Ovis aries: one gene and its partner. The main gene of each other region encodes a partner of the protein of the gene in region 2 in a complex. Links are inferred from orthologs where the notes say so. Each region holds a gene or a part of one and is shown on either strand. Other genes may lie near its edges.

Region 1 (16,344 bases), on a different chromosome or scaffold from region 2:
ATCTAGTTTCTCTGGATTTTTTCTGAAAAACAAAAAAGGTTCCCTGAGAAAACAAATATTGGGAAAAAGCATTTAACTTAATCTCCTCTTTTGCTATAATAACTACAGTAGGGTTTCATACTTTTCCTATATACAACCATTGGGGCACCAATAAAAATAAGCACAAATTGCTGTTTTCCTATAAAGGATTAAACTAAATTCAGTATAAATTTGATTCAGTGAGGAATTTCAGGTATCAGAATTTGCTTCAAGTCAGACTTAAAGGGTTATTATGGAATCAAACCCAATAAGCAGTTTACCACAAGAGAACAAATTCTAATTTGATTTGCCTTATTTTCCATATTCAAAACACTTTCACAGGGGGGTTTTTACGAAGAAAGAGAAACAACTATCATGGGGATTCAAAAGCATTACCTTGACTTGTTTCCTGCCAGGTAAAGGCTCGGTGCTAATGATCTTCACAATCACACCACTCACAAACTGTGGTCCTGCTGCATTAACTTTCTCCTGAGGACCACACTCTTCACTGTTTGCTGTTGACGCGAAAAGAAAAAGACCAGAAAAATATCCCTTAATTTAATAATTTAATGCTTATAGGCCTGCTCTAGAGTATCAGTAATGGTCTCCCAGCTTTATTTAAGTAATTTAAACTTACTCATAAGGTCATTATGTTGTAAGTTATACTATTTATTACAGATTACCATAAAGTAAAATACAGAAACTCTTATTACTGTAAATGCAAACTTTTAGCATTAGAACACTTTTAAAATCTTAAAGAAAAAATGTCCCATTTCACTGAACCAATAACAAATTGTTTTACTCAATAAAGAAATAAACAGGTATAGGTACACCGTTACAATTCAAATGTGGAAATTTATATTTTCAACTTATGGGAATTTAAAATATAAATATAAAAGATCATCTTTGTTTCTACAAATGCGATGAACTACAGACTAGGCACTCATCACTAATTTTGATTACTAATGAAAACTGTATAGAGAAAATTTATGTGATTAAAAAAGATTCAGTTTAAAATGAGCCCTTCAAATATTTTTAGGTTAAGGATAAATCATATCTGGACAACTTGAGGAATCAGTAATTGCTTTAATAACAACCACTATATAATTGAGTTTCAAAAGCTAAAGTTTATCCTACAATAACTCAGTGTGTTTTAGTATAAGTACAATATAATGTTACAAAAACTATCATATTGATGCTTACTTTTTTCATTTTTCATTCCGGAATTAGTAGGTACTCCATTTGTTTCCATTTCTGATTGTGATTTTATCTGGGATATTGTTTTTTTTAAAGAAGCCATGCTGGCTTTTTGCAGTGCTAAATACTCTTTCTTCAAATCCAACCATTCTGTTCTGTAGTGAAAATAATTGTACTTTTAAACAGTGACAACAGATCATTAAATAAAAAGTAAGTCTCAAAATACAGACATTCAGTGACTTACAACCACTCATTCTCCCAATCTTTCTTTAAACACATTTAAATTATTTCCTGAGTTCTAAGTCTATCTGGCAAACAAGAAAAGGGGAGTTCCCTCTGTCCCAACATTCAGATTAAATGTTTTATATTTGCTGATTCAATTCTTGAGTATTTTTCAAATATGTGACTGACAAAAATAAAAGCACTGAGTCAACTAACTAGTAACATTTAACTAGAAAAGTCAGTTAACTCTGGGTGAAAAATTAAAATTTTAAGATTTGTTAAACTGCTTCCAATTTGAAAGGTAACATTCCTCAGTATTTACTGGAGTCAAAGGAATTTCTAAGAAGGAAAAAAACACCCCATGGAAGCAATTTATTTATTTACATACATTTAACGTGTAGAGGTTTCTTCAAACAGCTAGAGCTCCTCCAGATAGAAACACAATGCCTCTCCTGGCTCTGCAGGAGCACTCATTGTTACCCTAATCTGAGCCATCAAACAAGCAGATAGGGGATTTTTTTTTTTTTTTAAAGAGGAGAATATCTGTGGTAATGGTTTTAGCTGTTAACATTGACATCTGTATACTTCAAAAAAAAAAAAAAAAAAAATCCAGACCCACCCAGGACCATACATTCCCTGAGAGCTGATACATTAGAATAACAAAGGGCTCTTGTAATGATTCTCTGAGATAAAAAGGGAAAAGGAATTCAGGGGTTAAGAATAGTATAAATAGAAGTACCCAAAGTCCTTGCCTTTTAACCCTCCAAGAGGAAAACCGGAGTCTTTGGAAACTGTAATCCAGGAAAGTTAAGAAAGAAACTCTTAAAAGGTATGCCATTTCTTCTACTTATCTTCCACCTATTGAGAAGATGGGCTCCCTTTAACTTTAACATGGTAGTACTTTCTGTGACTTTTGAAATAGTAAGTGCTTCCATGTTTTAGTAGAAGTGAATCCAAATTACGCCACTGCATACAAGATGGCAACTTTTACATAATTTATCGAAGCTAAAAGGGGATCCCCTCTGCTTTAACATGGGGGTACCTGCTGTGTAAAGCAAAAGTAAGTGCTTCCATGTTTCAGTGGAGGTGTCTCCAAGTCAGTACTTTAAAAGGACTTACGATCTGGCATTTTGCCAAACAAACTGTTGAAACTGGCTATTAATGAAGCTCTGAAAGTAATGAAAATGTAGCAAGTAGTCCTTTTAACGGTGAAATTGTTATTTCCATTTTGCTTAATGTAAGTTTGTCAGGCATTTATTCTGTTCCCAGATTATTTTATAAATGTACTTTACAGGTTAAGATTCACGTTTTTATTTTTCCCAAGACTGGGCTCCCCACCACTTAAACGTGGATGTACTTGCTTTGTAGCTAAAAAAGTAAGTGCTTCCATGTTTTAGTGATGGTAAGTCTTCTTTTTTCATTTTATCTTCAAGAAAATGCAAGGAGTACTTACTTACACTGCTGGTCTTTGGTATATTCAAGATGGACCTTTAAATCTATTAAGGAATACCCTCTACTTTAACATGGAGGCACTTGCTGTGACTTCAAGAAAAAATAAGTGCTTCCATGTTTTAGTGCGGTGGTTCCTTTTTAAACCTCAACATTTCGCAACTTCTGTGCAGATCATGGCTTCAGGCCATTACTGTTGCTAATATGCAACTCTGTTCAATTCAAATTGGAATTGCACTTTAGCAATGGTGATGGAGTGTGTCATTTGCCAACAATATAATTTGTACTGGTGACTTACTTTGATAGTACTCGTAATGGAATAACCTCTTCTCCCATTTTATGCCTCTCTTTATGTTTTTTCTTATGCTTTCTTTTTGCTTTCAGTAGGGATCCGTCCTTTATATCTCCAGTATCCTTTTCCTCTTCCGTAGAGACTTCTAATTCTAAATTAACAAGAAATAAAGACATGAGTTAACAAGAAAACTCTCCTTATCTAATCCTAAACATAAAGTCAGAAATACCTTTGCTTTCTTTACAAACTTCTGGAGCTTCTTTTTTAACGCTGTCTTTCTGAGACACTTTCTTAACCTTCGCTTTGGGAGTGAGGCAGTCTGCATCTTCAGAGCTGCTTCTTTTCCTCTTCCCTGCTTTGACTAAAGGTAAGCTGGATCCTTCAGTTTTTTCTCGTTTTTTCTTTTTCTTTGTGGGTTGCTTTTGGGGTTCAGTAACCTCTACTTCAGAGCTCTCAGATGTGGTCCTTGATCTTTTCTTACAGACACTTTCGTTGCTCGCGTCCATATTTGACTCCTTGGTCTGGATATTGTCGTCTTTCTTTGTTCGGCCTTTCTTCTTCTTTTTCTTTTTCTTTTCTTCTGTAACAATGTTATTTTAATTACTTATTTTTACTTCATGTATGTTTAATAAAGTCTTTAGTAATAACTCACCAGTTACTGTGAGAGCTGGAATGGGCTTGTTTTTCACTGTCTTGGGAAATACACCAGGTTTTCTTGGTGCTTCCTCTGGTGGGTTATTAAGAAACTGAAATGAAATATGCAAAATTCTGTTACTGTTTAAAACACTTAGTAATTTTCTTTCTCTTTCTTTTAGGTTGTGGACCTACCTCAATAGCTTTTGCAGCTTGTTCTTTTGTTTCAAATTCCACGAAGGCAAATCCCTTTGGGTCCCCAGTAGACTTATAATGTGGTATACTTATATAAACAACATTGCCACATTTCCCAAATACTCTCTCAATCCAGCTGTGGTTAACATTTTTGGGAAGTAGTTCCTATGATAAATTAGTAATAATAAAGTGTTAAAAACAACTGAAAATAAAGCTTTATTTAAATTGAATACTACAATGTTTCTGTTGAGACAACAGTTCCGAGCTTTTCCTGAAAAATGGCTTACCACATACACAGTCCGCTCATCCTCATCCTTTGGTCTTTCACCCAGTGGCTTTTTCCTCCTGATTCTGGTGCCTTCTAAATCCAGCTTTAAAACAGTACATAAAGTCAATACTAATTAACAGTATCATGTGACACGTAATATATGTAACGATTCTTACCTCTACAACAGCAGAACTTTTTAGTGCTCTGGCTATTAACTTTCCATCTGTGGTCAATTTTTTCATTTTGTTGAATGACACAAGAAGTGATATATCAACATCTAATGAAAACATAAGTTTAAAAAAGATTCAAAAACATTTTCAACTGTGTACATTGTACATTATATGCAGCATATATGGATTAGAAATAGATACAGCTCTTAAAACTGGTATAATACACTGAAGGAAACTTACATCCATCTCTAGATTTTTCTATCTGCTCTCGAAGAAATCTATCCTTGTGGAGATTTGCATCTCCAAACCAGAAGTCCACTTGCTTCACAATATCTGCAAGCACCTGTTTAACTCTAGACCGTTTCTTTTTCTCCACTTCTTTTTTCTTTTCTATGCTTTCTTCCATTGCCTTTTCTTTATTTCCACTTTCAGTTTCCATTTCTGTCAAATAGGAAGAAAAGGTAAATATTAAGTATAATTAGTGACCAAAAAATAATTTATCCTTTATCTGAAGGGAAATGGGCTCAAATATCTCTACCAGGGAAACATTTTCACTATTAGCTGCGGAAACATTGATTTTGCCTGTTTCTTATAAAATTTATCTCTTATGTTAACAGCATTTTTTCATACATTCTAGTATAGAATGATATACTGACATGTTCATTTCACAACCTCCAATGAGAGAAAAACACTTTATTTTTAAAAATGTTCTTTACTTGCTGACAAGACTGCAAAGTTCTGGACAGACAACTATCTCCCTGTCTTCTCTACTGTACTTAAAACCTTACTAATTTATTATCCTAAAGAATTATTTCTTTATTTTGCTCCCTGGTACATTCCCATTTCCTGGTATATAGTAATACAAAAATCTGTTGAATGGTGTCATCTTAGCTGATACACTAAACTTAAATACACACAAAAATGAGTAAGCAAAGAATTAACAGGGGGCCTGGGGTGATACTAAGACAAATGGCAAGTTTCATCTGTCTTCTCTGGCACACTGGGGTGGGAGATGCTATTAGTTGGTATGCATGCAGGCCTTGAGGCTGTGACCAGCATGATAGAATAGATTGGTGGGCTTTTGGGCATCAAGGTGATGAAAACACCGTACTAGTCTTAGATAAGGGCAGGGGGGTAAGCCGTGAATGTGGGTTAATTGCTGTATTTTGGGAAGACTGGGACTAGGTCTCCAGATGAGATGAAGATTCTGCCCCTACTCTATCTTCTGTCTTATATCCTTTAAAGCTCAGTAAACAGTTATTAGATAAAAGTCTATTTGTGTCTCCTGAGTCTGACTGTCAGCTATAATCTGAAAGTGCAGCAGGGATGCTGCAGATAGAAACAGATTTTGTTTCAAAGTGACATTCAGGAGGAGGGTACCAAGCCATGAATGCATTTCACTTCAAACCTCCAACTAAATGTGCATTCTCATCAAAGGAAGAGTATTTTGGCATTTTTAAAACAGGCTTCTGTTGATCAGGTAACTACTAATTTCTAAAACAGGTAATTATTTAGATGATGCTAGCCTAACTCATAAAATGGAAGTACATGCCAAAATTAATCATTAGAAAAACAATCAGGTGCTACATAACCATTTATTTCTCATCTCCCACTCTCACTTCAACCCATCCTGTCAGGCTTTCCTTTCCATCATTCTAATGAAACTGAAAACTAGGATCCCCACTATCTACCAGGCCTCTCAGGAGCATTTGCAGTTGCTAACTCCCTCACAAAACATTTTCCTCATTTGGCTTCCATGAGTTGTCTTCTCCATTTCCTTTTCTGGACCCTCTGACTCTGCTCTGCCTTTCCATGATGCCCAGGACTGAATGCAGTCAGTCCTGGGCTCCCTTATCTACACACATGTCGTTCCAGAGGGCCTCTGGCGTTAAGCTCCATGGCTCTCTATGCTGATGTTTCACAAACCTGTCCACTCCCGACTTACCCCATTACCTCCCCATTCCAACACGCAAATACCCACCTGACCTCTTCACTTATTCATCTGAAGCATATCTCAAGCTTAAATTGAACTCTCAAATTTTAGCAAACCACGTTTTTTTCCTAGTTTTTCCCGTCTCGGAAAATACCAGTGAAAACTGCTGAGAGGGCACAAACACTGAAATCCTTAATTTCTTCCTCACACCCCACAGCCAATTCATTAGCATTTCTGTTAGCTCTAGCTTTTCAAAATTCGTATGACTCCTCATTTCTTCCATCACAACCACCTGCTCCAAGCTATCACGGGTACCTTGCCTGCAGTTCAAACACATCCTCACATTTACTTGCTTCTACTCCTCTTCCATTGTCAATTCTCCAGATAGCAGTCAGAGTGATCATTTAAATATATAAATAAAATGTCAATTTCTTGAACAAAATCCTCCAAAGGTTTCTTATCCCAGTCAGAATAAAATAAAAAATCCTTATTGTGGCCTATAGGTCCTATTACATCTGGCCTGGGGATTTCGCTCTAACTTCGTCACTTGCAACTTCTTTCAGGGTGCTCATTACAACCTCAACACACCATCGTTCTGTTCCTTGAACAGTCTAATGCATTCCCATTCCACGGCTTTTGCTCCTGCTGTTTCCCAGGTTTCCTGTCACATCTGCAGGGATTACTTCCTTGTTCACCCAGGCCTCTGCAAATGTCACTTTCTCAAAGAGGCTTTCTCTTTCACCAAATCTAAAATATCCCTTCCCTGCCAACCATAACCCTACCCTCCCTCACTCACCACTTTCTATACTTATATGCTCTTATTCCTGCCTGGAATTATAATTTTATTGCCTGCTTCATTATAATATAAACACTAAGAAGGCAGAGACTTCAGCTTGATCACAACCTTGGCATTTATTGTCTAGTTAAGTAATATAACTAACAGCATCTAATAAATTGTCAAGTATTGAGCATTTCAAGTTATTTTGTAAGGGGGTAGAATTATAAACAAAATACAAATGTAGGCTATGATCGTCACTACAGAATTCACTACTAACTCTTTCATCTGAAAAATCTATAAAGGGCAGATTACCACTTCTCCTGGTGGCTCAGAGGTTAAAGCATCTGCCTGGAATGCAGGAGACCCGGGTTCGATCCCTGGGTCGGCAAGATCCCCTGGAGAAGGAAATGGCAACCCACTCCAGCACTCTTGCCTGGAGAATCCCATGGAGGGAGGACCCTGATAAGCTACAGTCCATGGGGTTGCAAAGAGTTGGACAACACTGAGCGACTTCACACACACACTACTTCTCCATTTGTTTTCATCGTCAAAGCCACCATCTAAGGAGATAGTGGACAAAACTGCATAAACACAGAAAGCCACAAATCTCCCAGAAATCAGACTTTTCCCAGCATTCTCTTCTCAGCCCTGATACTCTCCTTCCTTTCCCATATATAAATATATATATATATATATTTTGCGGCCTGGAGAATTAAGTTCAGAAAATCTTGCCCCATGTGAATAACACTCTGCAACTTTCAATCTTAAAAATCTGTGGAGAATCAAATATACCTTCATTTTCGAGTACAGATATGGATTAGATTAAACAGGAATTAAGCTATGGTACAAGTTCTCTTTGCTACACATTGGTTGCAGAAGATCAGGAAGTTACATGATAGTCATAGTTTACTTTTTCAATGTCCTATGATAACAAATAGGTATACTGTCATTCCATACATTCCAAATCAAAGTTCTTATCTTTCTTAGCAATGTCTGTTCTGCTGTTCTCACCACCCTCATTTTCTTTAAGGATGACATATTCTACTTAGTTAACCAGTCGAGCTATTTACTAGCTGTATGGATTTGGGGCAAGTTAACTCAACTTTCTACGATCTACAAAGTGGAATAAAATTTATACTGACATACTAGGGTTGTTTTAAAAATTAACCAAAATGGATAAAGCACTTTCCATTGCTGCTATACAGCACACAGTCAACAATATCTAACTGTTATTTATTATCATTTTATCATTTACCAATCTGTCATTAATCCCTATCAATGTAACCTTTGGAATGGCTCTTATCTTCATCCAGTGTTTTCCACAACTACTGTTATAATAATACGGAAATTGTTTATAAATTGTTTGAGAAGTCCTCCATCCTTCACAGAAGCTGTGTAACTTGTCTAAACACAGGTCTAATTTTGTGACTCTAATGCTAAAACTTTCAACAATAATAATTCTTTAGCATCTTTTGGTAACACAGCATATATTTTTAAAAAATTGTTAAATGAATCAACTAGTTTCATAGGGTTTAAACAAAGAATAAAAGTTACTGTGTAACACCAGTTACTTTACACACCTTGTTTTAAATCCTCATAATCCCTCTAGGTTATTTCTCTTAACTTTTTACAAAGGCTCAAAGGTTAAGTGACCTGGCTAAAGCTAGCTAGGTAAGTAAGCTCAGGTATGTTTAACTTTCACACTGCCTAAGTTTTAGTAGAACCTCTTGCAACCTCTTACCATGTAGTCTACGTTTTGACTCAGAAATCCTTTTTTTAAATTGTTAAATTTTTTTTTTTTTTACAATGTTGTGTTGGTTTCTGCTGTACAACAACGCGAATCAGCCATCTGTGTGTTCGTGCTAAGTCGCTTCAGCAGTGTCTGAGTCTTTGTGATCCCATGGACTGCAGCCATCCAGGCTCCTCTCTGTCCAAGGAATTCTCCAGGCAAGAATACTGGAGTGGGTTGCCATGCCCTCCTCCAGGGGATCTTCCTGACTCAGGGATCTAACATTGCATCTTACATCGCCTGCAATGGGAGGCAAGATTTTTTTAACAGTAGCGCCACCATCAGTCATAAATATACATATATACCCTCACTCTTGAGCCTCCCTCCCCTTTCTCCATCCCACTCCTCTAGGTCATCACAGAGCACCAGACTGGGCTCCCTGTGTCATACAGCAACTTCTCACCAGCTATCCATTTTACACACGGTAGTGTGTATCTGTTGATGCTACCTTCTCCATTCATTCACTCTCTCCCTCCCCACCCCGGCTGTGTCCACAAGTCCATCTCTCCTGGCTCAGAAATTCTTAACCTGAAATCCATGGAATTTGGGATGGATTTCAAAAATTATTGTAAATCCCACGAAATTTTCAAAGGTAAATTTTAAAGGTGAAACCATGACTTTTCTACGTTTATAAAATGAACTCGTCAATCATTTTATTTAAGTAATTAACCAGGGAACTAGTTAAGTGCTAAAAACCAGTTCAAAGGTGAACTCAAAAACTAGACAAGCGCAAATACAAGCAAGCAAAAATATTGAAATGAACTTGTTAACAGATGTAACACTAATCAGGGCAATAACTCTTAAGACTTATTTCAATTATAACTTACATAATTGTAACATAGCTCAATGACAATGAAAAGCAGAGGTAAGCTGGAAAAGTAAGCTAGACACCTCTTTTTTTTTGGCTATTTCAACGTCTTTCACAATTTTTCTTTAAAAGGTTATAGAAAATATTTAGAGATGTATATGTATTTTCCTGGGAGGCTCATCCATATCTTTTAAATCACGTTTTAAAAGGAAATGGTGTGTCAAAAAGGTTAAGAGAACTATAGTTCTAGTCACATCTGACTATCCAGCGTTGCCTACTTTCTTGTCTCTGTGCCTCTGCTTTAAAAGCTTCTTGTCTTCCTTGTCTTATCAAGTCCTATTCAATTTTCAAGGCCCAGGTTAAACGGCATCTTACTCTTTCTAGCTTTCTGCTAGCACATTTCCCCTAAACAACCGCCTCATCTGTTTCCCTTTTAAGTATGTCTATTAACGCACTCAATAATACACTGTATTTTTTCTTCCTTCCATAACTGGATGTTCAGCTCTCTGAATGACAGAGACAAAAGTTCTGAAAAAGGAAATGACTTAATTTAAAAATACAAGTCCACATTCGCTATCGTTTGGCCACCAAAACTCGAATCTGCGAAGAAAAGCAATTCCCCTTTTGACTACTGCCCCTTTAGGTACCCGTCCTTCCTCAAGGAAGCCGTCAGACGCGGGACTACCCCAAACCTCCCAAAACCGGGCGGCAAGCGCCCCCAATCACTAGAAAACTGGAACTGCAAGGGCTGCCGGAGGACTCTTGCGCGTGCGCACAGAGAACCAGGACACTAGGGCAATCTAACTGATGGGTTGGTGGGAGGGGGCGGGATGAGAAGGACCAGAGATGACAGAAAGGACCGGCATAGAAAAAGACTGAGAGTAATTTAGATCTCACCCAACCTGGGCTTCCCTAGAGTCCACTTAGAACTTACTCTGTCCAATTCCCAAAATACAGCGCCAGAGACTGCGTTCTTCAGTCCTTCGCGTCCCCCGAACCTTATAGTCGTGGTTATTTTAGCGTCACATGAGCGACAATTCTTCCGAACGCCTTGGAAAAGATGGGCCCAGAGGTTGTGCGACCGACATTTACGTCACTGGCGTAGGCCCGCTCAGCGTGGGGGCGGGACATCGGAGAACGCAGTCGCCACAGAGGCTAGCAGCCAAAGAGGAACTTGATTGGCAGTTTGAAAACGGCCATTCAGGTCCGGAGCCGTGGTGGGCGGGCTAAATAGTGGGGTTGGATCTGGTGCGGTCGCGAGTTGATGATGTCACGGCTTTTCGCGGGAGAAGTTCGAAAGTGGGTTTTGTGCAATGAGCAAGTTAAAAGAGCTGTTTCCACTCGGGAGTTTCTGGGGATTGAGGGTAGATAGGCTGGAGTTTTGAGCTCGAGGTGCTGTCACTGATTTTGATGCGACGGGCGAAGGAGTTTGCTCCGCCAGACGGGGTTCGGTAACGAAACTGTGTGGAGATAAGGTTGGTTCACGGCTTGGCGCAGCAACCTGTAAATAATTAGTGCTTCGTCTTTACCACCTTCCCCCAACTCCTGCTGGGCAGTTCCGGTATCCGTGTGAGAACCCGGGATGGTTTTGCTGTTTATTTTTAGGACTGACAAAGGGTCCCTTCTTCATTGTCATCTGGTTACACAAGCTAGTGATAATTAGAACGTTGGCAAATGAAATGTGAGCATCTTTTGGTTGTCTGGACTGGACCGTTTCTTAAAAGGCTATTGGGCTCGTGATTCTTAAATTTTTAAATCTGTGAACCACTTAGGGATTCGAAAGATCCTGCTTGTTCCAAAAGAAAAGGACCAAAAACATCTCATCGTACTTAGCAAGAACAGGTCATATTTTAGTGATAACACCGAATTTTATACATAAATCTAAAAAACAGCACAATAATGTGTGTGAAGATATGTATGTATTTCTGTACTAAATTATCGCAAAACATTTAATCTCTCCCTTTTTTTTGAAGTGTAATTCTTTAATCTACCACTTAACAAGAGTTAGGACCGTCTCAATACCTTTTACATCGCAAATCCCTCAAGTAATATTTCTAATTTAGGAAAACAATGGGGGAATTTATTTTGCAGTTGGTAAACAGCATATAAGTAATCCTAAAGAAGTAAATACTGGATTTCTAACCTGTAAATTGTGATGGTAATAACAACTTTTAGGACTATGAGACTGATAAATATTATATGTAAAGAATCCAGTCCCATTCTTGCCTGTTACAGTAGGTTTTCCATAGTCACATAATGTAGTTTTTGTGAATGGGAACACCAGAATTTAGACTACTTAGTTTTAAATTCTGAATCTGCCATTTATTTACTTCATGAGCTTAGGCAAATTACATACTGATGTACCTCACTTCCTGTTTTTGTAAAATGAATATAAAAAGTAGTATCTGTACTATAAGGTGTAAAATTTAAAGCATTTTAACAGTGTTCTAGCATATAATTTACACTGAATAAATAATAACTGTTATTAAAGGGATCTAATGTTAACTGCTACATGCCAAGCATTGTGTTGACACTATGTAGTCTTATCTACATATATTTGATGTCTAACCCATTCAGTGGCTAGAAGCAAGTTGCTGTTCAACCAGCAGTCAACTATGTGTTTCTTTGGACCTCTGTTATCTTCTTGGCATTCACTAGGCATCTGTCAATCCTGTTAGCTGGAGGGGAGGGATTAGGATATGGAGTTATATTTCTGAAAGGCAGTGCCTCTGTAGGTCTGGCCCTGTGCTGTGAACTATATCATGGGACAAGCATTCATTTCTCATTTGTGTACCGTTTGCCCTGCCCTTTCTCCATTTAGCAGCCAGAGCAATCTTGGTAAAACCCAAGTCAGATTATGTTAACGTATTCTTGAAATTCTGCCTTGGCCTCCTACTGTCTTTTTAAAAAGTCCGAACAACTTAGCATAAAATAGAATGCCCTTCGCATCCTGTTATTGCTCACTTTTTCAGACTTATCTCTCACAACTCACTATCTTACACTTGATTATAAACTAGAGTTCCTTGATTATGCCTTCCACAGCTTTTTTGTACGTGTTATTCTTATTTGGAAATACCCTCCTTGGGATTTTTCCTTGGTTAATGATTATTTCGGTTCACAGTATATGCATTATGTCTTTCAGGAAACCTTGTTTGATGCCCTAGACTGAGTTGGGTGTCCCTCCAGTGCTTTTCCTTCCATATTTTTTGTAATTACTGTTTATTACCCTGCTATACTGAAATTCCTTGAGACTAGGAGTAGTAGTTTGTTCATTTTAGTATCTTGGCCTAGCGCTATGTACACACAATACATAGCACACAGTAAGTACTAAATATATGTTATTTATAAATAACATGTAGGTGGTCTATTTTTTGTACATTTTATACATATAAAGGATGAATTTAATCCAGAATTGCAAATTATTGCTTTATTGAATACCTGTAGGTTTCAAACTTGAGTGTGTATCACTGCACCTGCAGTGCGTTTTAAATTACAGGTACTGGACCCCAATGCCAGCCTTTATGATTTAATAGCTCAAGACTCAAGAATTTGAATTTCTAACTAGCTCCCAGGTGTTGCTAATGCTATTGGCCCAGGGATCTAAGGCAGTGGTTAAAAATAATAATACTTTTCTTCGGCATCTCTGTTTACTTCAGTTCATTGTCAGTGATATTAGATTTCCAGATTTGCCCACAATAATAGTTTTATCCAATAGCATGGGATAAATATAGTACTCATTGCAATTATATTGAAAAAGTTTTTCCTTGGAGAGTGTATTATAATGTATATTTGGTTTTAGATACTATGTTACATTGACTTTGAAAAGGTAAAAGGAAAAATTTGAAATGCAAGGGGGCCATCTTGTGGTGATCGTAGCAATTCAGAGAATTTTAAAATTGAAGCTCTTAGAGAAACCAAGCTTCTGGGGCGGGGAGAGAATCCATTTTCTGATATATATTATGGCACCTGGAAAAATGTCTGCAGCCTACTCATCTGTGGGTTGGTTTTTTTTCTTTTGGCTTACCCTGGAAGCTTGTGGAATCTTTGTTCCCTGACCAGTGATTGATGCCAGCCCTTTGCAGTGAAAGCACAGAGTGCAAACCACTGGACTGCCAGGGAATTCCCTACATGTGTGTTTCCCTTGGTGATTACATAGTCTCAACACTTAAATACCCCTCTCTGGTCAAGAGTTGGTGGGGAAAAATTGTAGTTGATACTTATTCTGTTCATCAGGGTTGAATATTTGTCTTTTTTCATTTTAGGTGCTATAAATAGTTGAATGACTACTGATTATTTTCTGCACCTGAACCTAATTTCAGAAGAAGTAATGGAAAGCCAAGAATTTATTGTAAGTCTTATTTGTTTTCACTGTTTCCTTTTTCCTTCCTTCCTTTCATGTTTCACAAATGATTTGCCAGATTTAGCTAAAAAACCTAAAATAAATTTTTTAAAAACCCCAAACCTGGGACTTTCCTGGTGATCCAATGGCTAAGACTCCTTGCTCCCAAAGCAAGGAGTCCAGGTTCGATCCCTAGTCAGGGAAACAGATCCCACGTGTTGCAGTGAAAAGCTCACATGCCACAGTGAAGGATTCTGCATGCCACAGTGAGGACAGAAGACCCCACATGCTGCAACTAAGACCTAGTGCAACCAAAGAAAAACGAAAAACAAAAACCCAAACCTAAAATAGGACACTCTGTTAAACTTGAATTTCAGATAAACAGTGAATAATTTTTTAGTGTGAGTATGCATCTCTGAAATATTGCCCTGTATTCTGTCTGGCAACCCTAGAGTTCACATTGGTCGTGTCCGATTCTTGGTGACCCGATGGACTGTAGCCTACCAGGCTCCTCTGTCCATGGGATTTTCCGGGCAATAGTGCTGGAATGGATTGCCATTTCCTTCTCCAGTCACATTGGTTATGCAAAGTTCTTTGGAACAAATTGTTCAGAAGCTTGGAACCAGGGCATAATTTCTTTCTCTCGAAAGACTGGCACGTCTATTCTGTCTAGATTAATGGTTCTTAACCTGTTTGGTGTCAGGGGCCTTTATACTCTCACCTCTTCTTTCTCACCTCCATTGTCTTTAATGACCAGGTTTCTTTCTTCCTTTTCTTTTTTTTTTTTAAATATCAAGAAAAACTTTAATTTCTTTCAAATGTATCCAAATACACATTGGAATTGGAATATTATAAAAGTGGGAGTTTAGAGGAGACACATGATTTAATAAACTGTATGGCAACGACTAGGTAGCCATCTAGAAGGCTCTAAGTTGGATCCATACATCATATATGCATACACGTGCGCACGCTCAGTCACGTCCGACTCTTTGAGACCCCACAGACTGCAGCCCACCAGGCTCCTCTGTCGGTGGGATTTCCCAGGCAAGAATACTGGAGTGGGTTGCCATTTCCGTCTCCTCTTCCTTTTCTTTTAAATTGATGTTTCATTGTTATGATATCTGTGCTTTAATTTTAATAAACAAAAGATCCTTGTGATGTCTTACATATTTTTTGTATAAAGGAAGGGTATAAAAATACATATAACATTTAATACGTATAAGTAGAAACCATTTCTTTCCTTTATGCTTTTGGAAATAAGGTACTATATACTCATCAAAAGATGAAGAAGTCAAAAGTGTGGCAAGATGGAATTCTGAAGATCACTCACTTAGGAAACAAAGTAAGTGCAAAACAGTGGACTAAGGAGTCTAAAAGTTGGGTTCTTTTGATTTAATATTAAGAAGAGTCTGTAGATAAAACCTTAGATATATCCGTAAGCTGATATGATGTGAAAACAGAAGTTGTCAAATTATTCCTATATCACAGTGATTAATTTGTGAATTATAAAAGTCAGTTAATACTATTTAATTTCCTTTGATTTTTAAAAAAATCAGATTTTATATGAAACTTTTTAGGAATTTTGGCTTTTTTTTTTCATTGCAGTAGTAAGAGTTTAACTATACCAAAAAACTACTATAAAATATATTTATAACACAATAATGCTCACAGTGTAATGGTACCTATAGAGTGACATATTTTAGAAAAGCTGCCAATTTCTGAAATTATGTGTAGGATTCTTTTCTTCTGTTTTTGATTTTCTTCATTATTTTCTGATATCCTATCAAGTTTTGAGAGAACTATTTACTAGGATAAATCTTTGACCCTACTACATATAGTTATCCTTCTATGGGTTTCTTTTCCCACCCTGATTATCATTATCTTCATCTGTCAAATTTAAATGTTCTACTCTTATCCGTTCTCATGACCTTATTTAATACCCTTGTCTCCTCATTCATCATATGACCTCTTCTTCATTTGACTTCTGTGACACCACACTCCCCTAATGTTGCTTACTGTCCACTTCTAAGTATTTTCTGCTGGCTAATTGTCTTTTCATGATTAAAATTTTTACTCAGGACTCAGGCCTTCATGCTTTTGTAGAGATATATAAAGATACATAAATTATCTCTTTCTCTATGGAGGAAAGGTAGATTTATTGGAAGGAATTGTGTAGTGTGATTGTGGAGGCTGACAAGTTGCAACATTTGTAGTTGGCAAGCTGGAGACCCATGAGAACTAATAATGTGGTTT
Region 2 (16,265 bases):
AAACAGAAGCTGCTCAGAGATAAACTAGTATAGCCTTCACCATGCCCCCCTACCCCCCATTTTACAGATGAGACTGAAGCCCAAAGAGGAGAAAGGGGGTGTTGCTGGGCTGGGGGGTGGTGGGATTCTCTGACCTCTGGCCCCAAGCCCAGTCCTTTATGGGATGTGAGTCCTTCCTACCCTCTCCCTGTCCCCCAGGAGCAGATTTTGGACCTGGGACTGCAGAGGTGGTCTGAGTGCTGTGGTCACAGCACACTGGTCACTGGCATAAAAGGCCTTTTTCTTCACCAAGTTCACTTCCTGCTGGACTACCCAGTCCCTGCCTGCAGCCCCCTCTATGCCTTCAGCCAAGAACCAACCCTGCCTCAACCCTCTGTTGCCAAAGTAAACAGTGTTTCTTCAGTCTGGGGTGCCAGCAGGAAATGTACTGGGCATTGAGGGGTTTTCTCAGGTTGAAGGACTGGCATTGCGAGTGTGGGTGGGGGGTGGGGGTGGAATAACCTGTGGGGAGGGGGCTGGGTCCTGATTCCCAGGGCTCTCTAGCAGCTTAGGTTTTAGGAAACCTACGTGCTAAAGCCTCTGTTTCTTGAGTACCCTTCTGGGTTGCATGTCATGACACTTGTTGAGCATGATTGGTGACCAGCTAGGTGGTCATACTCAGAACCTGAAGATCTTGGGGGCCTCTGGGGGGGCATGGCTAGACACAGCCTTCCCTGTCGACCTCCGCACACAGCACGCCTCCCCAGGGCCGCCTCTCCATCTGTACTGTCATGGCTCCTGCCTCCTTCTCCCCACAGAGGGACCCACAGTGATTATCCCTCTGTGATCCCAGCACCAGGCCTCCCTCCCCAGTGCCTCCAGCGCTCCTCCTGTCTCCCACCACCCAGGCTTTCTCCTCCTGCCTTGGCCCTGGTTTCCCTTGGCAATGGTCTGGGGCCTGGAGAAGCCCTCAAAAGAAGGATGGTCCTTCATGGCCAAATCTTTCCCACCATAGAGCCTCCAATCCTAGCCCCCTAGGAGTGGAGATGCTGTAAGGTGTGGATGAGATCCTGGGAGATAGTGGTCTGAGCCTGAGGTGCAGCCCAGAACTTTTCTTCAGCTGTTATTAGTTTTCCGGGGCTGCAGTAACAAATTGCCACCAACTTGGTGACCTGCAACAACAGAAATTCATTCTGCCAGTGTTCTGAGCACATTTAGGCTAGGCTAAGCTATGATGGTCAGTAGGTTAGGTGTAATATATGCATTTTTGACATATTTATATCTCAAAATAACCCCCTCATAAGTGGAGGAAGATCTGCAGTAGGAGGAATGGGCATACTTTCTTATTCCTGACTTTAGCTGGAAATCCTCTAGTTTCCCCATTGAGATCCTTGAAAACGTTTGTAAAATATGGGTAACTATCCATTCTATCTGATCTTCCACAGCATTTCTTGGGAAGATAATGAATAGGAAAACAAATAAAAAAATGGTACACAAACATTTCTGTTGACTGCTAACCCATCTTGGGAGAGCCTCAAAAGTCTTGAACGCAGACTACTTTTACCCAAGAAGAAACAGGCTCAGAGAACAGAGAGAGTCTACCTCAAGGAACATGAGGGAAAGAGGTGAGAACTCCCATCTTCTGCCCTGCAGTCCAGGAGTCCAGGGTAAATCCCTGAGCCTTTTTTTTTTTTAAATGGTACTCAACATAGATCTTTATTTTTTATGTAGATGAATATTTTTTAAATTATTTAATTGGAGGCTAATTACAATATTGTAGTGGTTTTCACCATACAGTGACATGAATCCTGGGTGTACATGTGTTCCCCATCCTGAACCCCCCCTCCCACCTCCCTCCCCATCCCTCAGGGTCATCTCAGTGCACCAGCCCTAAGCGCCCTATCTCATGCATTGAACCTGGACTGACAATCTGTTTCACATATGGTAATATACATGTTTCAATGCTATTCTTTCAAATCGTCCCACCCTCGTCTTCTCCCACAGAGTCCAAAAGTTTATTCTTTATATCTGTGTCTCTTTCGCTGTCTTGCATATAGGATCATCGTTATCATCTTTCTAAATTCCACATATATGCATTAATATACTGTACTGGTGTTTTTCTTTCTGACTTACTTCGCTCTGTATAATAGGCTCCAGTTTCATCCACCTCATTAGAACTGATTCAAATGCATTCTTTTAAATAGCTGAGTAATATTCCATTGTGTGTATGTACCACAGCTTGCTTATCTATTTGTCTACCGATGGACATCTAGGTTGCTTCCATGTCCTGGCTATTGTAAACAGTGGTGCGATGAACATTGGAGTATACTGTCTCTTTCAATTTATAGATGAATATTTTAGCGGACCTTCGAAGAGGAAAAAGTCACAAAGAGCCATTCACCCAGGCCACCACCTAGGAAGGACCCTGGCTGGAGTCAGCGAGCCACGCCCTCACTCACACTGGGTCTGGTCAGAGTAGGGAGGCGATGGAACACCCGGAGATGCCGTGGAGGCACGGAGTAGGGAGGTCCAGTGCAAGGGCGCTGGGCCGTTAATTATAGGTGTTCCACTTAGTGCCCTGGCAGGGAGGACTGACACAGTCCGGATTCCAGCAGAAGCCAGGTGGTGACGACTGGACAGGGCGAGGAGTCTGTAACTCGTTTCGAAATGGAAAGGGCCCTAATGAGGACCCGTAGGGCTTCCGCAGGTTTGCGCTCTAAATCCCTGGCCTGGGGGGCGGGGCGAGGTGGTGCAGGCGGAAGCCCGTTGGGAGCCGAGGGAGGAGGCAACGGAAATGACGCTTAGGCGCACCAATAGGGCGGGTCAGGAGTTGGTCTCCCCTCCCCCTTGGGTAAGGGCTGACGGTTTCCGGTAGCGGCGTCTGAGAGGGCGGGGGAGAAGAGGTGGCGGTTCCGTGACCCTTACTCCGCACCCCTACAGACGCCGGAAGATGATGGTCTACGACGAGTCACAGCTGGAGTCGGTGGGAGGGGGAGAGGCCGTGGCGGTCCCAGACCCACCCCCAGAACCCCGCGCTCCCGAGCCCGGAGCCCCGGTGCCGGAGCCCGGCCTGGACCTGAGCCTGAGCCTGAGCCCGCGGTCCGAGAGTCCCGGACGCGGAAGGCCCAACTGCAGCCCTGGACGGCGGAAGGGGCGGGCGGACCGGCGGGGCGGGGCCCGCAAGGGGCGGCAGGTGAGCTCGGGGAAAACTTGGCCGCCAGCTCGCTGACGAGCCCCCGGCTCACCCCTTCACCGCCCCGTTCTCTGCTCCCAGGTCCGCTTCCTCCTGGCGCCGCCTTCCCCAGTCCGGTCTGAGCCGCCGGCGGCCGCCGCCTCATCGAGCGAGAAGCCTGAGGCGCCGCAGGACTTGGGGGCGCCGGTGCAGCAGAGTAGCCTGGCCCTGAGCCTTGAGCTGCAGGCCGCAAGGGCCGCAGCCGGGGGCCAGTTCGATGCCGCGAAGGCCGTGGAAGAACAGCTGAGAAAGTCGTTCCAGACCCGCTGCGGCCTGGAGGAGAGCGTGACCGAGGGTGAGGGGGGCAGGCGGCCGGCCGGGCGCGGGAGCGGGGGTGCGCGGCGCCGCTCACCTCCGCCCCTCCTGCGGTCTCAGGGCTGAACGTGCCGCGCTCCAGGCGGCTCTTCCGAGATCTGGTGAGTCTGCAGGTGCCGGAGGAACAGGTTCTGAACGCCGCGCTGAGGGAGAAACTGGCTCTCCTGCCGCCGCAGGCCCGAGCCCCACCTCCAAAGGTGAGGCACCTGGGCTGTCTCCGCTACCGCTCCCCCCTCCCGGCCCCCAAATGCCAGAGATTCAGCTCCCCTTGTTTGTGCTCCAACAGGAGCCACCTGGCCCAGGGCCAGACATGACCATATTGTGTGATCCGGAAACATTATTTTATGAATCTCCACACCTGACCCTGGAAGGTCTGCCCCCACTCCGGCTTCAACTCCGGCCCCGCCCTTCAGAAGATACCTTCCTTATGCATCGGACACTGAGGCGATGGGAAGCGTAGACCTGGGGGCTCCCTGGATTGCTAGTTTGTATTTTTTGGTGTTGAAACTATCAGAATAAAGTGGTTTTGCTAATAAATGGGACTCTTTTTGGGAGCCTTAACATGCGGTCAAGACTCAGGTTGGAAGCGGTCAGAAAGTCGTTTTGGCCTCCTTTTAAAGAAACTTGGTAGTGATGAGAAGCAGAGCAGGCAGGTTCTTGCTAAGTCGTGTCCGACTCTGGTCCTAGAACTGCCTTCCTCTGGTTCCACTTCAACTCCATGGTTAACTCTTCCAAAGTCAGCCTGTTCCCAAAGCTTCCACAAAACAAATTTTGTCAGTGGGTTTTTTTGGGGGAAGGTAGATGGGTTCTTCAAAATTCACATTATACTCCCTTTTCCTGGCTTAGGGTTCTCTCTACAGTTAAGTGTAAATGGCAACCCACTCCAGTCGCCTTGCCTGAAAAATCTCAAGCACAGAGGAGCCTGGTAGGCTACAGTCTGGAGGGTAGCAAAGAGTGGGACACAACCGAGCACAAGTGTAGAGAGGGTTCACTGGCATTCAACAATCTTCCCAACCACTGAAAAAAGTGTTCTCTTCCGTAAGACTACAGTTTGGGCAGAGCGGAAGCCCAGGTTCTACCAGGAGCCACCATCTATGCCCCCTCAAACTACAGTGTGCCAAACACAGGTGTGGGGGCCGCTGCCCTAAACATCAAGTTTATTGTGCTGTTCTCACATTCGGAACCCAACCACCTCTCCCAGTGGGGGACAGCAGAGGGAAGGATTTTCACAGTACCTGCATGCCTCCCCACCAACATCCCCCTCTTAATCTTCAGCCCATCTATCCGTGGTCTGTTGAAACGCAGCTCAGGACAAGGGCCGAGGAGAAAAGAGTCTCTCTCCTTGGGAGAACAGGAGGAAGAGGCCAGAGAACTTGATACCCCCCAACTCCCATGCCCTAGGAAATTAGAGGGCAGCAAACAGTCCATGCCATCCAGCCCAGTGGGCTGGGGGAGAGGAAGATGATGGTTCCAGCACAGCTGGGCTTGCTGCTTAGGTGCCAGAGGTGTAGGGAAGAGGCCAGGGCAGCAACACAGGAAAAGCTTTCTCTGCAGATCCAGGAGAGCAAACTATTTTTGGAGCCAGAAAGGAAAAGACCTTGAGATACTTTCCTCTCCCCCTAGATCCTTTGGAGCAGCAGGCAGCTTCTTCACACTTTCTGTTCAGGGGGCCACTTAGTGGCTGGGGGCCTTGTGGAACAGGTACACAGGACGCTGGAAACCTGAGGGAAGAGTGTGCACTCAGTAGGGGCTGACGGGGCCTACAGACCCCAACACCGGTCTGCACCTTGCTTCGGCACTGGCCTCCCTTCCTCCCCAGATAAAAGAAGGCAGCCTTACCTCTGGAGGTGTTGTTGGGTGTGGCCACGAGCTCATAGCTGGAGAAGCCCACCTCTGGGGATGTCAGGTAGGAACTGAACTGCTCTGGCTTCAGCTGAATTCGAAAGTAGTTCTTGTAGATTCTTTCCTAGGGAGAAAGGTAAGGGACCACTTCAGCTTACTGCCTTCTTGGCTAGTGAAGGTAGGCCCACTTGGGGGCCCTTTTCACCTTCATCAGAAAGTCTCTGCTTCCTTGAGGCCTTCCTTGCCTCAGCTAAAGGAAGGACTGCCCCAGTTTCCACAGAAACCCGCACTCACTGTGAGAGTCTTTCTCCGGCCGTAGGAAGACCAAGGCTGGGGCTCCAGGACTAGGATGCCCCCAGGACGTAGGTGCCGATAAATCCGGCGAAACATGCGCTTCAGTCCCTCGTCTCCCCAGTTGAGATGCACCCACTTGGTGAGGCTGAGGCAGAGCACCACATCATACTCGGGTTTCTGGGCCTCCACCAGCTCGTCTCGATCCAGCACATAGTTACCCTGAGGGCGAGAATTGGGGGTGAGGATGAGAGATGAAAAAGAACCACCGCCCCTTCTCAACCCACTGTGCAGCCCCACTTGAGTCCTTGGCCAGGCTTCTGACACTCCTCAAAACAACTCCCAAATGGTGCCCTCTTTGAGTCTCATTTTCTTGCTCTGTATTGGTGGTAAGCCAATCAAACATAGAGGGAGCTTGAGTAATCTTAAATTGAGCAAATTATCCACAAGGCAGTCAAAGCTAAGTTCAAATTGCAGAGAAAGAATGCTGGGGTTCTCCGAGGATCCTGTCCAGTACTTATCCCCACAGGCATTTAAGCTGAGAGATTCAATGTTCTGCAAAGGGGCCCAACTCAGGTTGAAAGGGAGACCTGTGGGTTCCTTCCCTAGGAGGAACTGTCAAAGTTTCAGGCCTATTCATTTTTTCCAGAGAAATGAAGACCTCCATCTCTCAGGAAACCTTCTAGATGATTAGCTCATTACCACTCCTCTGCAAAGTCCATTCTTCTGGGTGTAACCCACACTGCCAACTCTTCCTGTAGGTGGACTAACTGAAGCATTTTATGGGGACTGATGTGCAGTCAGGGGACAGATACTTAAGACTTGGTACTCTCCTGCACGGTTTCCCATCCCACCATCTAGGGTCAGTGTGGTGATGATCTAAGGCGAAGTCGCTTGGGTTCCTGGCCACTGACAATCAACTCTGTGTGTGACACAAATGAGGTCCCTATCAACGGACAGAACATAATTAGCCAGCCACTACCCTAATCCTCCGCCCCATCCCAAGACATTGAATGTTGGACACCCATCCCTTCAGGCACCTACAGAAGGCCGGAGGACAAGTTTTCATCTGGACCACATCCCCCAGTGATTATGAGCAGCAGCCCCCAAAGGAAAGTGGATGGGTCTAGATTACAATACTGCCCAGGAGCAGAGCAAAAGGAACCTGCCCCTATCCTGGGGCTCGTCATGAGTAAGGACTCCAGGTACAGCCCCTGCCTTTCCAGGTTATAGGAGGGCAGATACACCAAAATGGAATCAATTGCAGATTCAGACCATTCTCTTGAGCACCTGGCTTCTCCAGGGAGGGGTGCATGCACAGGAACCCTCTGGGTCATAACCCTCCCTGCCATGTTCTCATTCACTCTCATCTTCATGCCTGACCCCTATTCCCAGGAGCCTGGGGACCCTCTTACCGTGACGAAGACAACGTTGTTGGGGAAGACCGCTGTGTCGGCTCCATCCAAGGGCACTTGGGGTGCAGCGATGGGACCACGGCTGGCTGTCAGCGAGGCTGGGAAGTAGCTCCTTTTTCGGATGGCTGAGGTCCCTTCCTCACTCTCTGCTCCTGGGCTCCCCTCAGAAGTCTGGGGTGGCAGACGCAGTTCTTCAGACAGGTAGTGTCGGATGTTCTGGCGGGCTGAGTGGATGAGCTGGGCATCGATATCCAGGCCCACCATGCGGGATGGGCCCCACTTACAGGCAATGCTCAGGGTCAGGTGGCCCACATTGCAGCCCAGATCGAGGACGTCCCGACCCCGAAACCACTCAGGCTTCAATACCCGAAGGCGCCCATCCTCACAGGAAGGATTGCGGTACCCATAGTACTTGCAATAATTCCCATACTGGAACTTGCACTGTTGCTTTTTGAAGGTTGCGGCAGGTAGTGGCTGGAGGTGGTGGCGCCCTCCCCCAGTCCCTCTGCCCTTTTCCTTGGAACCCTGGCCTCCACCCCGAGCTCCTGCCTCTGACTTGCTGGAAGTCCTGCGTCGTTTGCGATGTCGTGAGGAGGAAGACGGGGGTGCAGAGGTAACTGAGGCAGCTGGAGGGGCTGAAAGGGAGCCTGAGGGACCCTGGAGGGCAGATGGAAGGGGAGACACGACCTCATCCCTGCAGTTGATGGCTGTGTTGAGTTCATAGGGTTGGGGGGCGTCCCGGTTCTGGCCCCCATGCTGCTGCGTGGTGCCCTCCCCGTGGAGTGAGGAAGTGAGGGGGGCTGTGGGCAGCGCGGAGTGGCTATCATTCCCTCCCGTTGCCTGCTGCTGCTGGTGGTGGTGCTGTCCCCGGTGTCTATGCCGTTTCCGACCAGTCTTGAGTGGCGAAGCAAGGACAACTTGGGCCTCATCAGTGCAAGTATTGAGACTGAGAGGGTCTGTAATATCTTTGGGGATGAGGATCTCCACTGGATCTCGCCCCTTGGCCGGAAGCGGGGATGACTTAGGGGTCTCCGCATTGAGTGCACGGCTCACTTCCTCATCCAGGAGACTATTCAGGTTCAGGGGATCAAAGATATTGCCCCCGAGGAGGAAGTTGGAGGGTAAGACAGAGTCACAGTCCGAATTAACCCGCCTGCGTCTCTTGAAGGCCGGATGTTTGAAGCCTCCACCACCTCCCCCTACATGACAGCTATTTCTCCTCTTGCCCCCACCTCCCCCTGGGGGCCGGTGGGGCTGATAGCCATTCCGGGGTCGAGGAGGAGCAGGGGGGCCCAGTTCTGTTCCGCCTCCTCCCCGTCGCTCCTCCCCCACGTCCGGGGGAGCGGCTCGCCCGTGCGGATCCGACAAGCAGGCCTCCCCGAGTGACTGCGCCTGGGGGCCGCCCCCTCGTTGCTGCTGCTGCGACTGACCGCCTCGAGGGGTGGATGCAGCCCCGGGGCTCTCCTTGCCGGCCATAGAGGCCGGGGATCCCGCCGAGTGAGCGCGCGGGCCCGGCGCACGCTGCGTCCCGCCGCGGAGCTCCCCGGAGGCGGCCTCTCGGTGCGGTTGCACCGTGGGGCCGCCCCCTCCGCCCGACTCATCTTTGAGCGGCGGCGGTGGGGCCGGCACCAGAAACGGCTCCTTCTCCGCCGCCATCTCGATCATTTCCTCCCCTTATTCCGTTCCAGTCGAGGGCAACCAGGGGGGCACCGGGGGCTTAACCCCCCTTCCTAGACCACGCTCCCTTCCCCCCGCCTCCTTCCCCGAGTGCGCGCGCAGTGCTGCTCGTCTCCCCTGGTCTCGCGCCCAAGCACCTCCCCGGAAAGCTCGCCCCACTCGCCCGCGAGACCAAAACAAGATGCCCGCGAGACCCGAACAACTCGAGGACTCAACCGCGCGTGCGCCGACCCCTTTCTCCTCTACCACTACCGCTCCGGCGCGAGCGCGCACGGCTGGGGCGCGTTCCTCTCTCCCTGGAATCACGCATGCGCACTCCGCCACCACCCTGATTGCGCGCGCATCGGAGTACGAACCAACTTAACGGCTCCGGGAGTTTAAATACAGCCCTTCTCAGCCCGCCCCCCACCCGCAGAAGCCCACCACCCCAAACTGACACCCTACTTCCCTTCGCAGCTATGTCCGTCCCTACTGATATCCTTTTGTCTCTGCCGCGCGATCCCACCCACCGTAGGCGGGGGACGGGGAGCTGGTGTGAAAAGGTCTCCTTGACACCCGACCCTTGTTCCTGAGGAATGAGTCTCAGCGGTCTCCGCCCGGCTCTAAACCCAGCAACCTCCCCACCCCGCCTCCTTCCTCCCCCTAGCGAGCAGCGCCTGCGCACACCCTTTTGGGCTTGCGCGGGTAGATGCAGCACGTGCTGGAGATGACGCCCCGCCCTCCGTGCTAGGGGCGGGGACTGTTACGTTACTTCCTAGGGTTTGGAACACGCAACATGCGTCAGCACGATTCGGAGGGCCGTGGCTAATGGGCGGGGCGGTCCGTATGAATTATTCATGACCCAGTTGCCCCCCCCCCCCCCCGCCCCGGTGCCCACCTATTTAGAAAGGCTTCCGAGGGAGCGGAGGGGTGCACCTAAAAAGGAGAGGAGGGGAAGGAGCGGAGCATACTGACCGTCTTCCTACGAACTGTTCTCAGTATAACACGATAGATCATTTTAACTCATCCCCCCCTGGAAAACAGTCTCTGCTGAACTGGAAAAAGAAAAAAAAAGCACTAAAACAGGCGATGTTGTCTTAACTTCCTCTTCCCCCTAAACAGCCGAGTCGTTCTCTCGCTCCCCGATCGCGATCACCTGGGGACACCACGCCCTCTCCGCCTCCACACCCACCTCCCGCACCAATGCCTCCGCCCACCACCCGACGCCAGCGCACGAGCCCCCCCAGCCCGGAGACAAGCTATCCGACGCCCACTACAGCTGCCAATAGCAGTACACCCAGCACCGCCGCCCCCCCCGCCCCCCACTCCGTACACAGGCTTTCCCGAGCACACGCTGCGGCTCCGAGCCGCCTTATATAAAAACGAATGTGGGCGAGGAAGAGATTTCGGTCCGCTTTGGGGGCTCCCTGCCTTAGCCTATGGGGAGGAAGCTACTGGACAGCCTTTCCACTGGGTGTTTGTTTGGTGGCTTGATTTCCTTGCCAACAGCGCTTGGGGTGCGGGTCCTGTGGCTGAGAAAAGGGTGGAAGAGGCGAGAATGGGGTTAAGGATAGATCTCAAATAAAATAACAAAATAAGGGGATGAAGGATACTAAGAAGAATGCGAATGAGGGCACGAAAAGAGGACGGAAAAGGCAGTCTGGGGCAGAGAAAGAAGTCAGTAAAAGGAAGATGTGCGTCTTGAAACATCAGGCGCTACGGCTGCCACCTAAAAAAAAAAAAGCGAGGCCAACGGGGATTATGGGATTTGTAGTTTTATAGGGTATTCGGTTGGAAGATGGCGGCGATGACTGCTGCGCAAAGGCAGAAACGGCCTCCAATTGCGCATGCGCATTAGCCCTGCGAGCACGCCGCCGGAGGAGGTGGAGCTTGCGAGTGGCCTCGCGCCTATCCTTGTTGGCGGGAAAACTGGTTGGAGGTTCGCGCGGCTGGTGGAGTCGCTGCAGTAACTCTGTCTGCTCCTCACCCTTAGAGCCTCTACGCACCAGAAGGTAGTTGGTGTTTTTCCGCTTGCACCTGAAGGTTCTAGGCTTGGCCAGTCTTGGCACCTGTCGCCTGAGGAAAAGTTTTCTCCTCAGGGTGATGGCTAGCTCTTATCCCTCTCCTCAGAATCTCTAGCCGCAGACTTGCTCCAAAGAGAAAACCAGAACTAAGTCAGTATTACGGTGCGCGATGTCGAGCTGAGCGAGAATGAGGATCCTGGTGTCTCCTCGTGTTGAGGGTGGGAATGGGGAGGGGGAGCTGAGGGGAAATTGTCTCATGGAGGGTGTTTCTTGATGGTGAGGAGAGGTTAGAGAGCCACTGTTTTACCCTTAGAGGAGTCATGGACTTCTGGCTCTGTGGTACCTCCGGTCTGAATTGCTGTGCTTTTAAGAGAGAATTGGTGAGGAAAGAGGAAAAATGTGGGTGTCTCCAAGTTCTTCCCTCTGGTTTGAAAAGTGAGATTAGGCCTTTTATTGTTCCAAATCTGAGCACTCTGTGAGGGGAAATGGTGCAGTGGTCTGGGAGTTCATGGGCATGGCCCCTTGGAAAGCAACACAGAATGGCTAGTTTGAGGTTGGCATTATTCCGGGCACCTGTGGAAGCTTTTCAGCGGTTAGATAGAAAGGGTCTGAACCAAGATCAGGGTACTAAAGAGTCTGTCTTGGTGATAATTGACCATGTCTCTCTGCTTCCTTGCACTCTCTGAACTTAAAGCTTTAGTCACCATTAATTTGAAGATTCCGTAAAAGGTTTTACTTAAAGTAGTTACGACAGTAAATGTCTTGTTTCATTGATAAGTCGTGTCAGACTCTTTTGCAACCCCATGAACTGTAGTCTGCCAGGATTTCCCCGGCAAGGATACTGGAGTGGGTTGCCATTTCCATTTCCAGGGGATCTTCCCGACCCTGGGATCAACTCACCTCACCTGCATTGGCAGGTGGGTTCTTTACCACTGAGCCACCAGGGAAGCCCCAAATGTCTTGTTAGGCAGCCTAGTATGGGTAATAAGGGTAGCTGGGATCAGTTTTTTTCCTTCTGTCTTGTTAAAAGTTTAGAATCATGCTTGCTGAGCGCACATGAGAGAAGGAAGGTGGAAAGAACAAACTTATTGATGGAGGCATGAAAATGAGAAGAAATCTACGTACCATTAGACATTAAGACAAAAAGAAATCAAACTCCAGCTTAAAGGAGAGTTAAAATATAGTCTTTATCTTATTTATTTATTGTTTTTTGGAGAGTTATATTTTATTTGGTGGACATTCTGAGGAACTCAAGCCTGGGAGGCAGCATCTTAGGTAACCCTGAGAAAAGTGCTTCCTCTGAAAATATAATCTTTATTTATTTTACAATATATATATTTACTTGTTTTGATCATTGCCTAACTACTCCCACTAGAATGTCAGCTCAGTGAGAATAGAAATTTGATCTTTTTTCCTTCTCAAAATATAGTTTTTAAATACAATTTTTTGAGGCTCACAGAGTCTGTGTTAGAGGGCAATTCTAAAGGGCTTATTTTTGTTCTCTTAGACCAAGGATTCCAGGGACAATATAAAGAGGGAGTAACTGGATCCTTGGGAGAAATTTGTGAACACATTCCGAGTGGAAGGAGGAGGATTAAGGCTTTTTGAAAAATACTGACAAGACTGAAGTAAGTTACTTAGCTAAGTCAGCTCTCAAACATTTTGGTCTGGGAATCCCTTTATTTTTAAATTAAATTTACTTATTTATTTGTGTCTGTTCTGGATCTCCATTGCTGCTCAGGCTTTTCGCTAGTAGTGGTGAGCAGGGGCTACTCTCTAGTTGTGTGTGGGCTTCTCACCGTGATGGCTTCTCTTGTTGTGGAGCAGAGGCTCCATAGTTGTGGTGCAAATGCTTAGTTGGTCTTCAGCATTTGGGATCTTCCAGGATCAAGGATTGAACCTTAGTCTCCTGCATTGGTGGGCAGATTCTTTACCATTGAGCCACCAGGAAAGCACTGGAATCCTTTTTATTTAAGTTATGTTTTAAAAGGTTTTTTTGGTGGTTGTTGTTTGCCTGCACGGGGTCTTGGTTTCTGCACGTGGGCTTTCTCTAGTTGGGGCAGCAGGAACTGCTCTCCGGTTGCCGTGCATGTGCTTCTCTTTGCGGTGGCTTTGTGTTGCAGAACGTGGGCTCTAGGGCACATGGGCTTCAGTAGTTGTAGCTCTTGGCCTCTAGAGCATGTGCTCAGTAGCTGTGGTGTATGGGCTTAGCTGTCCCACAGCATGCATGCAGGTCAGGGATCTTCCCTGACCAGGGATCAATCCTGTGTCCTCTGCATTGGCAAGCAGATTCTTACCCACTGGACCTCTAGAGAAGTCCTCTGAGAATCCTTTTATACTCTTAAAATTTTTGAAGGACTCCAAAGATTGGTTTATATCTCTTTACCTGTGCATTGATACTTAAGTATTAGAAATTAAACTGAGAAAAATTAATCAATTTATTAATTTAAAAATGATGATAGTAAACCATTTGCATAATGTTAGTGTAGATAACACTTAAATGAAAATATAATTTCCTAAGTGAAAGAAAATTTAATATGAAGAATGGTGTTATTTTACATTTCTGCAAATCTCATGTCTGGCTTAATAGAAAACAGCTGGATTTTCATCTGTTTCTGAATTCAGTGTGTTTTGATATCTTGTTTTGGTTGAAGAATATGAGAAAATCTAACACAGATAAGTAGTTGGAGATCTGCTGAGCTAGGTGATTTCATCTTCTAATCAGTGTGATGATTTTTGGTGTTCTAAATGAAAGAAAAGTATCTTTTGGAACACCTCATTCACCTTCCCTTGGGTCCCTTTATTACTTCTAAGTCATTTCCCCCTCCTTATTTGCCTTTCTTTCTTATGTCAGTTGAGGAGTTAGGATCTGGTTATGGAAGTTCTTTTACTTTGACATTTAAATTTGAAGCTTTATTGGATTTTTTTCCCAATATTTTTCATCTAAAGTAAGAAAAGAGAAACTAAAATCTCAAATGTTATTCCTGGGTTTAGAGCCCCCAGTCATTTTGTAGCTAACCAGGTAAAAGTTGGTGGTATTTTGTATATTTATTAACTATCTTTAAATTTGTCTTTCTCTCTCTGAAATGAATTTCAGTATTCGTTACTGTGGAAGAAAATACTTCATCTGAAACAGAGGAGCAGAAATTTGTCAGACAGTGACTTCCAAACTTTCTCTTCTCTATTGATCAGAATAGAGATTTTCTTTAAAAGTAATGTTCTTCATCACACCCTCACTCTGCATGCATGCTCAATCGTGTCTGACTCTTTGGGACCCTATGGACTGTACCCTGGCAGGCTTCTCAGTCTATGGAATTATCTGGGCAAGAACACTAGAATGGGTTGCCATTTTCTTCTCCAAGGGATCTTCCTGATCCAGGGATCGAACCCACATCTCCTTTTTCTCCTGCATTGCAGGCAGATTCTTTACTGTTTGAGCCATAAGGGAAGCTTATACATTTACTGCTGCTGCTGCTGCTGCTGCTGCTGCTGCTGCTGCTAAGTCACTTCAGTCGTATCCGACTCTGTGCGACCCTGACCCTGGGATTCTCCAGGCAAGAATGCTGGAGTGGGTTGCCATTTCCTTCTCCAATGCATGAAAGTGAAGTCGCCCAGTCCTGTCCGACTCTTAGCGACCCCATGGTCTGCAGCCTACCAGGATCCTCCATCCATGGGATTTTCCAGCCAAGAGTACTGGAGTGGGGTGCCATTGCTATACATTTACTACATCTTATTAACTTAACAGTGATCCACAATTTTATCTAGTTGGTTGGGGCTTCAGTAACACACTTTGGCCTAGAGAGGTCAGTATAGGTTTAGATAATGATTTAAACTTAACTCGGAAAAATTTTGCCTCTTGAGGTTGATCAAAATACTCTTTTTAAAATTTTATTTTAAAAATAGAGTTTAAAAGTCACTTTGAAATGGCAGTCTATGTATAAAATACCAGAGTTACACAAGACGCTACAGTAGAGAGCTCGTTTCCACTCTCAGCTACCTGTTTCCTCTCCACTGAGACATTTTTGTCAATTTCTTGTGTATTCTTCCAGAGATAGTTAAAGGATACTCAAACATATTGTATAGATGAAAATTTTTTAAAAATCAAATTTTGTCATCTCAAGTACACTAAATTCATTTTGCTTTCCTCGTTCAGTACAGTTTTGTAATTCTGATTATCTTCATAGGGACTTCTCATGGTCATTTTTGGAATTTTAGAGTCTGGGAGAAGATATGTTTGTCATTTATTATTATTATTATTCCCTTTGTGGCCTAATTTTATACAGTTTGTACCTTCTATTTAGGGTTATCATAAAGAAAGAGACCAGTTTGCTGTAGTGATTCTCCCCCAATTTCCTACTTGCTTTTTCTTTCATTGTCAAATAAGTTTGGGAGTTGGTGGTGAAACATTAAAATGGAAACCGTGATAAAATGTGCTTCTTAAATTGGGCTTTCCTGGTGGCTCAGATGGTAAAGAATCTGCCTGCAATGCAGGAGACCCGGGTTCGATCCCTGAGTTGGGAAGATCCCCTGGAGGAGGGCATGGCAACCCACCCCAGGATTCTTGCCTAGAGAATTTCATGGACAGAGGAGCCTGACGGGCTATGGTCCATGGGGTCACAAATAGTGGGACACAACTGAGCAACTAATACACACTAGACGAGTATAAACGGAAAGGAATTACTGCAAACCAGCACATATCAATTATTTGCGTTTATGGAATTAAGTATTTTTCTTAAAATACCAAAAAATTTAAAAAAGACATTATATTCAGCCATGCTGTGGCCACACTAAGTCAAGTCCCCAGTAACTTTTGAATTCATCTTGGAATCTGGAGGGTGGAATCCTACACCCTGAACAACTGAGTGTTTACGTTGGCCATTTGAGGGTCATAAAATTTTCAGCCCCTTTAGAGAGAAAAATATACGAACCCAAAGATCCATTTTATGCAACTTTTGGATCTCTCTCTTTTTTATTACTACTTATTCATTTTCTTTGTTTCTTTGTCTTTGTTGTCTCTAGTGTAATGAGCGGGGGCTACTCTCTAGATGTGGTGCACAGGCTTCTCATTGTAGCGGCTTTTCTTGTTGCAGAGCACAGGCTCAAGGTGCCGGGGCTGCAGTAGTTGCAGCGCGTGGGCTCAGCGGCCGTAGCGCCCGTGCTCTGGAGCACAGGCACGATAGTCCTGGCACCTGGGCTTAATCGCTCCATGGCATGTGGGATCTTCCCAGGTAAGGGATTAAACTGATTTCTCCTGCATTGGCAGGCAGATTCTTTACCACTGTGCCACCTGGGAAACCTCTTGGATCTCTTTATAGTGGGAGGTAGCAGAGTTAAAGGATTGAGTTTCAGGTCCAAGGCCTTCAAAGTACTCAAAATCAACAGCCAGAAATCAGATCACTGAGAAGAATAGATATGTTATTAGAATTTAGAAGCCAGAGACCTGGATTCATCTTACTCTACCATGTATTAACACTGAGGTTTTGGCAGACCACAGCTGGGTAGAAATAATAT

What was found.
Region 1: MEPCE (region 2) and LARP7 share a complex: the UniProt entries of both Homo sapiens proteins name them as parts of the 7SK RNP complex. The link is inferred for Ovis aries from reciprocal best matches to the Homo sapiens genes MEPCE and LARP7.

The regions. Positions count from the first base shown.
Region 1 is NC_056059.1:13,380,042-13,396,385, forward strand, and holds the start of LARP7 (la-related protein 7), read right to left. Parts: upstream 10,843-16,344; 5' UTR 10,687-10,842; intron 4,886-10,686; 5' UTR 4,884-4,885; coding exon 4,685-4,883; intron 4,552-4,684; coding exon 4,451-4,551; intron 4,378-4,450; coding exon 4,294-4,377; intron 4,172-4,293; coding exon 4,007-4,171; intron 3,925-4,006; coding exon 3,831-3,924; intron 3,759-3,830; coding exon 3,408-3,758; intron 3,330-3,407; coding exon 3,185-3,329; intron 1,371-3,184; coding exon 1,222-1,370; intron 534-1,221; coding exon 415-533; intron 1-414. Other genes in the region: protein ZGRF1, read left to right, coding at 14,032-14,100, 15,353-15,433. UniProt on the Homo sapiens protein: RNA-binding protein that specifically binds distinct small nuclear RNA (snRNAs) and regulates their processing and function.
Region 2 is NC_056077.1:36,535,721-36,551,985, forward strand, and holds MEPCE (7SK snRNA methylphosphate capping enzyme), read right to left. Parts: upstream 9,329-16,265; 5' UTR 8,740-9,328; coding exon 7,075-8,739; intron 5,882-7,074; coding exon 5,663-5,881; intron 5,493-5,662; coding exon 5,366-5,492; intron 5,248-5,365; coding exon 5,201-5,247; 3' UTR 4,655-5,200; downstream 1-4,654. Other genes in the region: PPP1R35 (protein phosphatase 1 regulatory subunit 35), read left to right, coding at 2,930-3,172, 3,254-3,506, 3,587-3,723, 3,813-3,986. UniProt on the Homo sapiens protein: S-adenosyl-L-methionine-dependent methyltransferase that adds a methylphosphate cap at the 5'-end of 7SK snRNA (7SK RNA), leading to stabilize it.